Linked DNA regions of Arabidopsis thaliana. The protein of the gene in region 1 interacts with the protein of each later gene in a pairwise test. Each region holds a gene or a part of one and is shown in the gene's direction. Other genes may lie near its edges.

Region 1 (8,503 bases):
AGTGAGATTTTTCAAAATAATATATAAATTCAAATAGAAATAGACTATTTGGTTCTTAAATGAGAGACCCCCGAAAAAATCTTTTTTTTTTTCTCATCAAGCTGTTTACATTTTTAGATATAAAATCATATTCTTTATAGTTTAGAATATGAATTAAATAGTTTTATATGTTATTAACTTATCATAAGATATGCGTGAGGTTGGCCAAAAACTCATCAATTAACCAAATAAGAAAAGTAAAATTGTATTTTGCTTTGCTAAAAATGTAAATATTTCATTGAAAAATGAAAAAGGTTTAGGTAATACAATTAAGTAAATCCTACAATTTTGGTTCCATGGCAAAAGAATAAAATTGTATTGCTTTGGTAAAAGTTGATCCAACTAATATATTCAGTAGAAACTGCAAAACTGAAGAAATAAGTTTGTTTAGTAGAATTGCTTTCGGTTATGTAATGAATATACATCCAAAATGGCTTTTTAGTAATGATGTCTTTTCATACTCTTTCCAATCCCTACTACTTTCAGATTATTTGTCCTACTATTATAGAGATATACGTTCGTTTTCAATAATATGAAAAGTGATATATATTTAAATAGTGTGATATATATATAAGTTTTGCAAGTGCATCACTTCCCAAAATCGCATAAATCATTAATCATATTGTCGAAAACAGTATAATAACTTCTTAAACGAAAACGCAGCGCAATTAAAAATAACAACTAGAGATAATTGACAAAACATTGATTAATATTTACCTATAAGTTAATTATTGTATTTAAAATTTATTTAAAGTTCATAAGGAAAACATATGCAAAAATATTTATATCTAATATTTTGCTATGTTATCCTTTTTTTTTTTTACGTTATCCTAATTTTGTTTATCCTAATTTGTTGTGGTTAAAATCTTATTATTGATAAAAAGAGAACTTTTTTTTTTGTCATCATAAAAAAGAGAACTTATTACTTCGATTTTAAAATTCTATGAGCGTAGGAGACAAAGAAAAAAAAAATAAAAAAAAAAAGAAGAGAAAAATCACTTCTTTTCTTCTTTTTAGTCCAGATCCAACATATTTTGGATAACTAAATGAAGATTTTTTAAAAAAATATATTTTAGGGTATATATAAATCATAATTTGAAGCAAATGAAATAAAATCCAGTTTGGTAATATATAAATATGATTTGATGGGTTCCTTGTAATCTCTCTCTATCTATTAGTTTCTCAGTTATCTTTTCTTTGCCAGAAATGGCAGTGAAGGCAGTGGCTGAGGAGAGAGTTTTTTTTCTTCTTTCATGGGGAAAGTAAAACTTTGCCTTGAAGATTTCTCTCTTCAATATTTTTCTAAGACTTTTGATTTCAACGAATCACTGTCCTTAACCTAAAAGCAAGAAAAATTAGCTTTATACTGGTCTTTACTTTTTTTTAACATATTTATTTTTATATAGTTTACTTATAAACATAGACATACGAGTATGGGAATATATAGTATATCCAACTTCTAAATAATATTTCGAATAGTGATAACAAAATTAGCAATACATACGGCTAGTGAAATGTTGATCGAATAAACGGCACTGATGTAATGTACTTATCAATTTTGATAATTTTAATTGTATTGTTTTTCTTTTTTTCCCACAGTATTGAACTAGACAATTAAATTTAAAGTAAAATTATACATTTCTTTCGTTGTGTATTAAAGTAACATGCATAATATCATTTTCCTTCGTACAATCCTCCAAATTGACAATTGATGAATTACTTTGTCAATCGTAAATGAATTTTTCTCAAGTCTGTATACTATTTTCAGGGATAAACAGGTACAGGTGTCCCATGCTTATTCTCTTGATAGTAACATGTGTCCTATGTTGAGTCAATTCTACGTTCGAAGAAGTGCTAACAATTGTTAATAGCCTCGTATATTATTCTAATTAAAATGCCTCGATAGATTTGGTTAGTGGTCTGAATGTGATTGGTTATTTTTTCAAGTGGCAAGAGGTCTACCATCTAATATTACAATCAATCGACCAAAAAGGTCGAGAACATGATAATGGTGGCAAATACAAATGGTTCATTGTTGTCTAATATAACAAGCCATCAGTTGTCACTTTTTAAAAACAATACAGAATACAAGATACTTTTTTTTTAAGGTAAAATGTGTGTTTAATATTTTCGTTTATATAACAAATAAACAGTTACATGTTTTACTCTATGATTATATTTATGACATTTTTCTTCTTCTTAACAACATTTTTTTCCCATAAGAACATTTACAATAGTATTAAAACTTTGATTGCAATCAAATGTTAGATCACTTATTATAAAATTACTAAGACTGCTATCTTTTCCTATTGACAAAAGCGAATCCAATATATGTTACTGAAACAAATGCGTAAATTATACTATATGGAGATCTATCGGTTAATTATTGAGAGAATCTAAGAAAGTTTTTGAGTACAACAGTCCTAATAATATCTTCACATACCATATAATATACATATATACATATACACAAATGTACTTTTTAAACCAACATCAGCATACGTATATCCCATCAGGAAACTTAGACTTTTGGGAATTCATGGTATGAAAACCAAAACCAAATGACAACATTCGATTTGATACTCCCGACCCATGGTAAAGAAATAACAAATTCCAATATATCTTTCACTGGACTTTCCGAGGCACATTCCGGTTTTCTCCATTTCAAGAAATTGTCAAAAATAAATTGAGATCCGGTTTATTACCTCAAAAAAGAAGAAGAGAAATTACAACATTAATTTCCGAAAAGGCATAAATGAGAAATCATATTTCAGCAGAAGAACACAAAAGAGTTAAGAACCCACAGATCACACAACCTCTGTCCATGTCTGCTTTTTACACTTTTTTAAAATAAGTTTCTCCTAAAAAGTTATTTCCTATTTATAATAATTTCCTTAGATTTATCTTCCTGGTCTCTCTTCTGCTGCTTCCCTCTCCCCCATAACTATCACTATTTAGAATTTTCAATGTGGAAAAGGAAGCTGATTGTTGAAGCATAAATCCCGGGAGACCACTTTTGCATTTTCAAATAATTAAATTAAACCATAGATACACACACACAGTTACTTACTCTTTTAGGGTTTCCCAATAAATTTATAGTACTTTAATGTGTTTCATGATATTGATGATAAATGCTAGCTGTATTTACAATGGGGGCTCCTCTTTTTTTTTCTTTATGTTATTTTCATTTTTTATTTCTCATAGCTATATAGCAAAGCCAAAGTGAATAATAATACTAGTGAGAGAAAGAGAAGATGGAGAGTGGTTCCAACAGCACTTCTTGTCCAATGGCTTTTGCCGGGGATAATAGTGATGGTCCGATGTGTCCTATGATGATGATGATGCCGCCCATCATGACATCACATCAACATCATGGTCATGATCATCAACATCAACAACAAGAACATGATGGTTATGCATATCAGTCACACCACCAACAAAGTAGTTCCCTTTTTCTTCAATCACTAGCTCCTCCCCAAGGAACTAAGAACAAAGTTGCTTCTTCTTCTTCTCCTTCCTCTTGTGCTCCTGCCTATTCTCTAATGGAGATCCATCATAACGAAATCGTTGCAGGAGGAATCAACCCTTGCTCCTCTTCCTCTTCTTCAGCCTCTGTCAAGGCCAAGATCATGGCTCATCCTCACTACCACCGCCTCTTGGCCGCTTATGTCAATTGTCAGAAGGTGATGAGAGAAAGAAACTTGAAAAAATTACTTTGAAAGTTTCTTCGTAACTCTAATGATTCTTATTTGATTTTCTTGCACAAAAAAGAAGAGAAAGATTCTAGAAACCCTAATTACCAAACTTTACCTTTTATTTCCTTTTTACATAACCCTTTACTTGATGTCTGAGTTTGATTTTGATATCTACTTTTGTTTACTAGTTACTTAACCCAGCTAAGTATATACAAATCAAAGGATACAATTTTTCCTATATTGAGAAAGTTTCAAGAAACAATTTGTAAAAACCCTACTTGCAAGAGATTATCCAAAATATTGTATGTAGGCTTGAAGATTAGGACATATATAATTATTTCATTTTTTTCTTTACTATATTATATATCCACAATAAACGTGAGGATCCTTATCTTAGTTCAATTAACGTTTTTATGTCTATCATTTACTAATTACACAATTTCTTAAGGTTGGAGCACCACCGGAGGTTGTGGCGAGGCTAGAGGAGGCATGCTCGTCTGCCGCAGCCGCTGCCGCATCTATGGGACCAACAGGATGTCTAGGTGAAGATCCAGGGCTTGATCAATTCATGGAAGCTTACTGTGAAATGCTCGTTAAGTATGAGCAAGAGCTCTCCAAACCTTTCAAGGAAGCTATGGTCTTCCTTCAACGTGTCGAGTGTCAATTCAAATCCCTCTCTCTATCCTCACCTTCCTCTTTCTCCGGTTACTCTCTCCTCTCTCTCTAGTTCTCTGTTTTTTTTTCTTTCTTTTTAATTCATATTCTTGTTAATTATGGCGTCAAATTAAACGTAAGATGAGGAAAGTTGTTTTTTTTCTTTGTGGGTTTTAAGAAAGATTTTCCTTTTTCTGATTTTTCTTGGGTAAATACCCCTTTGATGGTTGTTACTAGGGTTAGTGTCAGATTGTTATATATAGCTTACTAGGTTTACGTGTATAATCTATCTATACATAAGTTAGTGTATGTAGTTGTTTTCATTGAATTAAAACAGTTTGTTTACTGTTTTTTTGTTTTGTTTGGAATTGAATTCATTTGCTTTGGTACAACAACAATCACTGTTCTTGTCTCTTTCTTCTCCGTTTGTTTTGGATCTATTTAATTCAAATGCATCAAAAAGAATATCTGGATCTAGAGTCTGCTCGTCCTTAGATCTATTGCTCAATTTAGACATACACATGTTTTTGTACGTATAATCACATATACATATATCTACACAATGTCATATCACTCTTCTTTTCAAGAATGTAGTTAAGTTTATATAGACACACAAACTCACATCTACTTAACATGTTACTTTGAATTATTTGGATCACTAGCCTATTCTTTTTCATTTCCCTAGACACATGTTCTTGTTGACAAATTTGTCTTGCTTTCACATGTTTAATCAATATAAGGTTATGGAGAGACAGCAATTGATAGGAACAATAATGGGTCATCCGAGGAAGAAGTCGATATGAACAATGAATTTGTAGATCCACAAGCTGAGGATAGAGAGCTTAAAGGACAGCTCTTGCGCAAGTACAGTGGTTACTTAGGGAGCCTCAAGCAAGAGTTCATGAAGAAGAGGAAGAAAGGAAAGCTCCCTAAAGAAGCTCGTCAACAACTGCTTGATTGGTGGAGCCGTCACTACAAATGGCCTTACCCTTCGGTAACTCTCTTCCCTTATACTCTAATTAAATAATCATTTCATGTTTTTAAAAAAGCATTTATATGATAGCAAATTCAATTTAGTTGTCTATTAGCTTGTTTCAATGTTTTTAGTGATTTTTGCATTCATACTATATCGTTAGGGACATTAGTTTATGTTAGCTCATGTTGGCATTGCACAATATGCATTTGCATAATTTGAAATCCTAAAAGCTGAATGAAGTGAACTTATTTAGTCTATGTGTACTGTTTTGGTCTATTAGCCGATGACAAACTTGATTCTTGCTTCCATACCTTTTTTAGGGTCCGAATAATATGTCAATCTTAGTCAAGACTACGATCAATTTCATCTTATGGCTGTGTACCATAACTTAGACTAAACTTTGTTGCACATATTTCAAGTCATAACTTTGGAAAGTAGGGTGCATGAGGCCATACCCTAATGCAATAGTAGCTCATGTCTTTATTACACTTGTATAGTGTCATTACCCATGTTCGTATGAGTAGATGGATTCTAAGTTCTCCTTACAATCTAGCAAATCGTGATGTAGCTGTGATCATGGACTGACCTTATATCGGAGAGAACACTTGATGATTGATTTTTTCTCGCATGTGATATGAAATTGCAGGAGCAACAAAAGCTCGCCCTTGCGGAATCAACGGGGCTGGACCAGAAACAGATAAACAATTGGTTCATAAACCAGAGGAAACGGCATTGGAAGCCGTCGGAGGACATGCAGTTTGTAGTAATGGACGCAACACATCCTCACCATTACTTCATGGATAATGTCTTGGGCAATCCTTTCCCAATGGATCACATCTCCTCCACCATGCTTTGATCGATCCTTTAAAACGTTTATTTCATTATATTTATAATCGTTAAACAGCTTATAATATGTATAATCTATGGTTCTCGGTATACTTGGAACATATGAAACATGTTCCGATTGATGAACAAGCGTTTGATGTTGTGGTGTGTATCCTTTTGTGTTGTTCTATTGTTATGCGAAATTCCTATTCCTATTATAATGATAGTAAAGCTTTTTTGATCTATTCTTTTTATTTGACAACCTTTTTGACAATTTGGACCATTTTTTGGTTGTATGTATATCTTCCTTGCTAATTTTTAAGTATTTGCGTCGAAATTTTGTACTTTTGGGATGGAAAAGACGAAAAGAAAAGAGAGAATGCTATTACTCCAAAAGACCTAGTCTGGCCCAAACAGACCCATCACTATCCCAAAAAGACAAGATCGACCAAAACTTAATCCACTTCTAATAGTTTTGTCCCTTAAAACGCTTTCTGCTGTATGTATCTTCACAAACATATGACTTATCTTGAACCGATTCAATACAGCAGCATTTAGCATTGCTGAGAGTGATCTTTACACATATATACGCTTATAAGCTTCTCAAATTCTTCTTCATATGCTCCTCATCATCTTCAGTTTTCAATAGCCATAATTTGTTCCTACCAAAGACGAATAGTTCCAGTTTCTGCATAGCCACAATCTTCCATTTGTTTTCCCACTTGATCTAACCTGAAACTGGGACATGGTTCCTGAAGTTAGTGGATGTGCAGAACAAGAGAAACTATGGATCGAAGATACATCGGGTCAGCCTCGAGGATAATATCATCACTGACATTTTGAGCACTAACTAAACAGTCCAAACCAAGCATTGATTCAAGACATACCTCTCTATTCAAGATCGCTATCTGTTCTTGCTTCTTCATCACTATCTTCACATATATCCTCAGGAGGATCGTATACAATCATTCCAGGGAAAAGCTCCAAGAAATCATCTTTAACTTTCTCTCTCAACTCAGGATAAGGAACGAGTCCTTTCAAAATAACTCGAAAAGGCAGAGATAAAGGCCGGTCAGGAGACTCTCTCATCTCTCCATACAATCTCATTGCTTCTAAAGGAAGTTCATTATCCAAGAACCCTCGAACAAGGTCTCCAAATGTATGTTGATCAAACAAAACCTCTTCTTTCTTTAAATCTTCCCATACTTTCTTGGTTTCATCAACTTTCTTGTTTCTTGCAAGCATCATTAGCATGTCTCTGTAAAAAAACATGTCCGGTCTGTACCATATTTCTCTCCTCACTACTTCATAGAGCTGAAACATAATAAGAAGACAAACACTAAACCAAATTAAACATCAACGACAAGTGACAATACATAAACATCAACAAGCTCCATATAAACCAAACCGAAATAGTTTAACCAAACCAGTTAGGCTAATTCGATTCTGATTCAGTTTATTAGGTATCAAGCGGCAAGAGGAAGTATGAAATTCAGTAACTGGTTTGGTTCGGCATTGCCAAACCGAAATTACCAAAATTTTATCCTAAATATAACCGAATTCACAGAAATATACCAAAATTTAACCGAAGCATAAACATTAACAGTAACACCATCAACAAACTCCATAACCAAACTTAGAACTAGGCTTATAAAATCAAACCGAAATAGCTGAACCAAACCAGTTAGGCTAATTCGGTTCGGATTCGGTTTATTAGGTGAAGCCAAGCGGCAAGAGGAAGCATGAAAACCGGTTCAGGACTGGTAAACCCAAATTTTATCCTTACTTTAACCAGAATCACCGAAATGTACCAAATCTTAACCAAAATGATGAGAAATGTCAAATTATCAATAACGAACCAAACCACATTTGGTTTTCGGTTCCATTTCAGCACCAATTTCCAAATCGAAACACCCAAATTTACGAACCGGAGGAGACCAATTAACCTAAACGCCCAGAACTATCAAAAACTCAGTTCGAAACTTAACCAAATTCAACGATTATACCTTCATACAGAGGAACACTTGGTTTTGTCTCTGAAATTCAGCAAGAACGGAAACGAGATCGGATTTAAGGAGACGAGAGACATGAGAACCAATGAATCGATCAAGTCGGACTGATTGGGTTTGGAGACGCTTGAGCTCTTTGGCTGCGATTAAACCTTCTTTGCTCATTTCTTTCTTCCGTCTCCATATCGATAAGCTTGGGCTTGAAGCAGGCCCTGATTGGTACGTACGAGTCGAATCAACACTAATTTCTTTGTTTCTAGAACCAAATTGGCGGAGAATATAAAGAACGAAGCTTTGTTGAATTG
Region 2 (6,447 bases), on another chromosome or scaffold:
TTAAGACTTTTGCTTTCTATGTGAAAGCAGTTTAATGTTATGTTGGTTAAGACTTTTCTGCAACAGAGTTTGGTGAATTTTTATTCTTTAATATGAGCATGCCTTTTTACATTTAACAATTCTCACTTTAGACTAAATAGGCTTTGGTAAGAGGCCCATATTTTCAAAAATAAGATTCATTCTCAATATCTGGATTGTATGCTAAAAAAAGGAATTAGGCCCATATTTGCTCAAAAAAAAAAAAAAAAAAAGTTATCTGCCTGAATATGATCTTGGACATTAGAACCTCGTTCTTACCTTTTATGTATATCTTTACTTCTACATGGTAGTAGTTATATAATCTCGTTGATCTTGAAATTAGTTCTTATTCTCATATAGGTCTGAAACTCTTATATTGCTTCTCTTCAAAATTTTGTTCCGTCTTTTTGGTTTCAATATCTGCCAAAATGTATTTGTATCGTCTATATGTGTTAAAAACACATGCAAGAGACTAGTAACTAGACAATAATCTATTTCAAACTAAATTGGTCTTCTAATAAAAATGTTATAGTTATGGAAAAAAGGATGTGTCTTTGGGACATTACAGCTCTATTGGGCCAACAAAATCTCTCGCTTCGTATCCCATTAGATTCTCTCTTTCTCTCTCTCTCTCTCTCTTCCTTCAGAGATGTTCATTGTTCGTATTATTACGGCATCTCTGGCTCTGACCCTCTCGCTGCAACATCTGTCCCTATTCAGACAGCTATACCTCTATTTTCATTCTACACCTAATACTTTATATTTCTTCAAAAATCCACCCTGATCAACTTCCTATCACTATCTAAGTCATTCTCATTATCTTTGTGTTGTTGCTCTCAAGTCTCGCCCATGGAACTAACGATTCTCTCAGCCTCTAATCAGTATTGGACCCTAGTCTTAAAGATTATAGTAGTTACCAAGTTAGGACTTAGGACTTAGGATATAGACTTCTGTCAAACAAGAAAGTGAATGCTAAGTTTAGAAGCATTTGAAAGAAAAAGTACTAATCCATAAATATCTACAAGTTGTTTCCAGGAAAAGACAAAACTCAGTGGGGAAAACGAGCACTTATGGTGTTTACAAAATGAAAATAAAAAAGAAGAAAAAGTTGTGTTTGTTATTTTTTGGGACCCTTATTTCTTTAATAGTTGCATAGCCTCTGGACGACCAGAGTCCACGAATGTATAATCAGATACCAAAAAAGTATGAAAGAAATATATAAAGAAAAGGAAGAAGAAACAATCATGGCTTGGCTTACTTAAAAAGTAAAGTAGCTAATACTCTTAATCAAAACTCACATAATAAACATTAGTTATGTGTTTATAATGATAAGTTAATGACCTATTCATCAGAAAAACAAGTTGTGATATATATACTTAATCAAAATTCACCACGATCTACTAATCTGCTAAATTTTTATTGTTTACTTGCAAAATAAACTATATAACTCAACACTTCCGAATTTAAATTTAAATTTAAGATGACTTTATGTCAAGAAGCTAGTAGCATCTTTGATTCTTTGTACTTTTCAACTTAAGTAAAGAAAATAGAAATGTGATTATATGGAGGATATTGATTTAATCAATGTGTAATTAAGAGACAGAGAGTGATAAGGATTGGGATTAAGATTAGGTTTAGGATTGGGAGAAAGATGAAGAGAGAGGGGTTTAGGTCGACCAACTGGTTGTTAAAGATAGAAACTCCTTAACCATACATTTATATAACATTTTCACAATAATTTTCTTCTCTTTACCAAAGACTTGACTCCAGGAATCAATAAGCAAGAAGCAGGAGGTTCAAGCACCAACCAGATTATGGCTTTCTGAAGCAATATCTTCAGAAAACAAAATAAAGTTTTTATTTGATTTTCTTATTACCATATTATATACTATTAAATAAGAAATTCAAAGTTTTTTTTTTCCATTCTTTCTTTCTTCCGGAGGAGGGAGAGTATGATATGGGTCTTTCACGTGTGACATTGATGAGATGATGAATTCAAATTATATCTCATACCAAAAAAAAAACACAACCAAGAGAAAGAGGCGTAACCTTCTGATTTCTTTCTTTTAAGATATCAATAAAATCTTTCACATTTTCTAATTTTTAATTCTTTTCAAGATTTTGTTGTCTCCTTCAACAATCCATCAGAAGTAGCAGTTTGGTTTCCAGGTAATTTACTAATCTTTTTATTTCTATACAATTCTTCTTTTTTTTTTGTTGTCTATGGATTTGGCTTGCATCTCCATAATTGCATGCATAACCATATATTCAAGACATGTTGAAATCTTACATGTTTCTTAGCAATACACTGATTATATGGATCCTGCTCTGTTTCAATTGTTTTTGAATCTGTCTTTAATGTCAAGCATTTCCTCCATAAGGTTAAGTTCTTACGACCTGATCAGAAAACAAGGGACTATGGAACTCAAGTGAGCCAAAAAGAACACTCCATTTCGATGGAGAATTATCCAGAAACACAGTTTATTCCCGGAGATTCAATGATCCAGAATGCTATAGTTTCTTACTCTGAGGAATCAGCCGGTAGAGAAAGAAGAACTGAAGCTAACAATGTCTCAGCCTCACAAGAGAGGCAAGCATTGTCCAGATTTGGGGGAGTTCCACAAATGCAGAACATTGGTCAAGATTTCGGTTCTTGGAGAGATCAAGCGAGTGACAGGAACGGTTTCCAGCTAATGAGCGCGATGGCAGGTGCCACGGGGATTCTTCAGACCGGTCAGGGACTGTCCCTTAGCCTTGGTTCACAGATTCTTCCAGGAATTCATCAGATAAGCCATCAAAATATGGCGCCGAGAGGCAATGAGTATGCAACACAGAGTTTTCCGGGCGGGAATCAGAACTTGGATGTTGTGAGAACAATTCCCAACTCAAAGTATCTTAAGGCGGCTCAACAGCTTCTAGATGAGGCTGTTAATGTAAAGAAAGCTCTAAAGCAGTTTCAGGCAGAGGGAGATAAAAACAATGAGAACCCTCAAGAACCGAATCAGAGCACTCAAGACTCGAGCACGAATCCTCCTGCGGACATCTCTCAGTCGGAGAGACAAGAAATGCAGAGCAAGTTGACAAAACTCTTGTCAATGTTGGATGAGGTAATAACTTGAGACCTAATCTTCTTAATTTGATCATGTGATGGTTACCTTTTATAGGCCTTTTGTTATAATATTTTAAATGCAAAAAAGCATACATTTAAATAAATTGCAGCCATAATGTTGTTACATTTGGTATATATAGGATATGTTGAATATTTAAGAAAATGAGATATTTCTTGATTTTGGTAAAGGTGGATAGAAGATATAAGCAATATTACCAGCAGATGCAGATAGTTGTATCCTCGTTCGATGTGATAGCTGGTTATGGAGCAGCTAAGCCATACACAGCACTCGCCCTTCAAACAATTTCTCGCCATTTTCGTAGCCTAAGGGATGCGATATCCGGACAAATCCTCGTGCTACGTAAATGCCTTGGGGAACAACAAGATGGATCAGATGGGAAAAGAGTTGGGATTATAAGCCGGCTTAAGTACGTTGATCAACATTTAAGACAACAAAGAGGTTTTATGCAACCTCAAGCTTGGAGACCTCAACGCGGTCTACCTGAAAACTCTGTTTTGATTCTCCGTGCTTGGCTCTTTGAGCATTTTCTTCACCCGTAAGTCTCCCTTGAATCTTATCTCCACACATTTTCTTCATAAATAGTGATGATTACTGTTTGAAAACATGAATAGTTACCCAAAGGATTCTGATAAGATCATGCTAGCAAGACAAACGGGCTTGAGCCGCGGTCAGGTAAGGAATGTTTTATTTGAAGATTGTTTCTTTCTCTTCATAGTATAGTTTATTTATTGATTGTTGTGTGTTTTATGTTTGTAAAAGGTTTCAAACTGGTTCATAAATGCACGAGTGCGTTTATGGAAGCCAATGGTGGAGGAGATATACAAGGAGGAATTCACAGAGAATGATTCCAACTCGTCTTCCGAAAATACACCGAAAATGTCTGAGATAGGACCTGTTGCTGCTGATGATGAAGATCGAGCTCGAGAGTTTTCACAAGACCAGACCAAACCGGACCATGGACATGGATATGGCGAGGAAACTCGTGGCATGGTCCAAGGCAGTCATATGGATGGTCGCCGGTTCATGGCAGTTGAGCCTACATATCATGTGGCTGATACGTCAAGATTGGGTCGTGGTGATGTGTCCTTGACTCTAGGGCTTCAAAACTCTCAAGGACAGGACAATGTTGTGGCTATGTCTAGTGAGGCATACAACAACTTTTCCGGGGTGGATATTTACGAGAATGCCATCCCGGGAGATGAAATGGAGTATGTAAACCCCGGAAGTCGCCAGAACCGGATAAATTCTTCACAATTGGTACATGATTTTGTAGCTTGAAGAAGTAAGCAATGGAGAGGAATAAAGCATAGGTGTGATGAACTTATGATCAGTCTCAATTCTGTAGTGGAAGAATGTTGGTCAGAAGAAAAAGTTTTAGAAATATTTGTATAAAGTAAACATTCTTTTGTACAAGAATATAAGTGAGGTTAGGTCATTGGGACCAAACAGAATATGGTAAATGCAATTTGAGATCTGCAAGAGATGGACATTACACTGTAGACTTATTATCTTATCACATCTACGAAACTGCAACGTTCCCAATTCTCTTCTCTTTTTTTTTGTCTGGCACATATACAATCTGTATCCGTTTTCAGAATTAATCGAATATTTCAATATTAATTTTGATCATAAGGATTCTATCAGATAAATTGTAATATTCATCTAATGATGACTATTCACCAAATTTACATTCTGCATGATAGCAAAGAGCACTATCTAATCATTAATTTACTAGAAAACATATCTTGAAACTTATATATATGATTATCATTCAAACTTATTGCAGTGTTAGTATTTAGGTTTACATATATTATACATCTCAGAAAGTCTGGCATCTATATATAGTCGATCGGTGATATGCATGATCAGTTGGGAATAAGCTTGAAAGGAGGTCTCACGAGCTTTGGTTTAGGACTGGAGTGGCCATAGTCTCTTGAATTCATTCTCAGAATTCTCTCATGCTCATGTATTCTTCTTTCTACTACCTGTCCACAAATAGAATGTATTCACCAACGTACAAAATTGTTCTTGAAATCATATAACTACGATCTTGATTATCAATTTGTTCGGTTTTTTACTAAGTAAAGATATACAACGCACGGTAGTTGGCAACTTTTTTTGGAGTTAAAACGAATACCTCGGGATGATCATCTTCTTGGCTATAGATTAAAATGGATGATCGGCCTACAAAAAAGAAAAAAAAAAGAGACTTAAGCTTGTCTATTCTTTATATCCAAGATTAATCAATCCAAATAACACTAACGTAACATACTATGTCGTTAATTTTCTCCTTTAGTCGTCATTAACACACATGTGGAGAGCACAAGCTCTTAATGTTATTATCTTACTTTCTAAAAGACTGATCTCAGTAGGAGGCACATGAAGTTGCAGAGAAAAGCTGCAAACAAAGGAATATAAATATGTAGATAGAGAGAGAGAAAAAAAAGTAAGAAACAAACCTGCAGAACAGAGAGCAAACGCTGAAGCTGAAACTAGAAGAAAGATGATGAAACCTAGTTTCTTCACCAATGGCAACAAACCCATCTTCTTTCTCCTTTCAATTTTTGATGTGCCTTAAGCTGTATCTTGTGTATTTAGATACACGTACCTTATCAAAAAAAAGAGAAGCCAATGCGTTTGGTATATCACTATATATAATCTCTAAAGAAATAACACGATTAAAAGTTAACTAATTTGTTTAGCCAACGTGAATGCTTTAAATAAAAAGCAACAATAAAAACCGGTTTAAATAGAGATTAGCTTGAGTTTCAAAATTAGATTGTATCAATTACAAATAAATAAAAATAGTAAAATACCATAACAACAATTGATTTATCCATCATTTAATTAATGCAAATATCTCTTAATGCTTTTAATTAAAAAAATTGTTCATGGAAATGGTGGGATTGGAGAAAAAGTTGAAAGGAGACTACTTTCCTATTGTTGGCCACAATAAGTCTAAAGAGGTTAGTGACCTGATTATTTAATATGAGTGCCTTCATTATCATAACCCAATTAAATTTACCAAATCATCATAATTATATTGTAGAATCCTTGAAGACTAGGTATTCAATATCGGTCAAAGTTCCATTCCTATTCTCCAATCAAGAGATATCGCTAGCTATAACCAACTGAATAATGTACGATTAGGCCTCTATAAATCTGATAGTGATATACTATATATGATACACTACTTCGTTTAACTCAAATTAATCGATCATAACATACTTACTGAAAGATAGAGTCATAAATTTTTCTCATAATTTTTTGCTAAAAAGTGTTAAACTTAAATGAATTG

The links.
Region 2: the proteins of STM (region 1) and BLH6 interact in binary tests that used the Arabidopsis thaliana proteins (3 or more experiments, as listed by UniProt).

What each region holds. Positions count from the first base shown.
Region 1 is NC_003070.9:23,056,513-23,065,015, reverse strand, and holds STM (KNOX/ELK homeobox transcription factor), read left to right. Parts: upstream 1-2,952; 5' UTR 2,953-3,293; coding exon 3,294-3,722; intron 3,723-4,182; coding exon 4,183-4,438; intron 4,439-5,128; coding exon 5,129-5,382; intron 5,383-6,010; coding exon 6,011-6,220; 3' UTR 6,221-6,434; downstream 6,435-8,503. Other genes in the region: AT1G62350 (Pentatricopeptide repeat (PPR) superfamily protein), read right to left, coding at 7,081-7,503, 8,196-8,503. UniProt on the Arabidopsis thaliana protein: Required for shoot apical meristem (SAM) formation during embryogenesis. Negatively regulates ASYMMETRIC LEAVES1 (AS1) and ASYMMETRIC LEAVES2 (AS2 or LBD6). Probably binds to the DNA sequence 5'-TGAC-3'. Binds to RNA.
Region 2 is NC_003075.7:16,528,526-16,534,972, reverse strand, and holds BLH6 (BEL1-like homeodomain 6), read left to right. Parts: upstream 1-1,610; 5' UTR 1,611-2,187; exon of another isoform or gene 2,188-2,399; 5' UTR 2,400-2,474; coding exon 2,475-3,125; intron 3,126-3,316; coding exon 3,317-3,684; intron 3,685-3,760; coding exon 3,761-3,821; intron 3,822-3,908; coding exon 3,909-4,427; 3' UTR 4,428-4,627; downstream 4,628-6,447. Other genes in the region: AT4G34600 (uncharacterized protein), read right to left, coding at 5,015-5,134, 5,287-5,333, 5,609-5,693.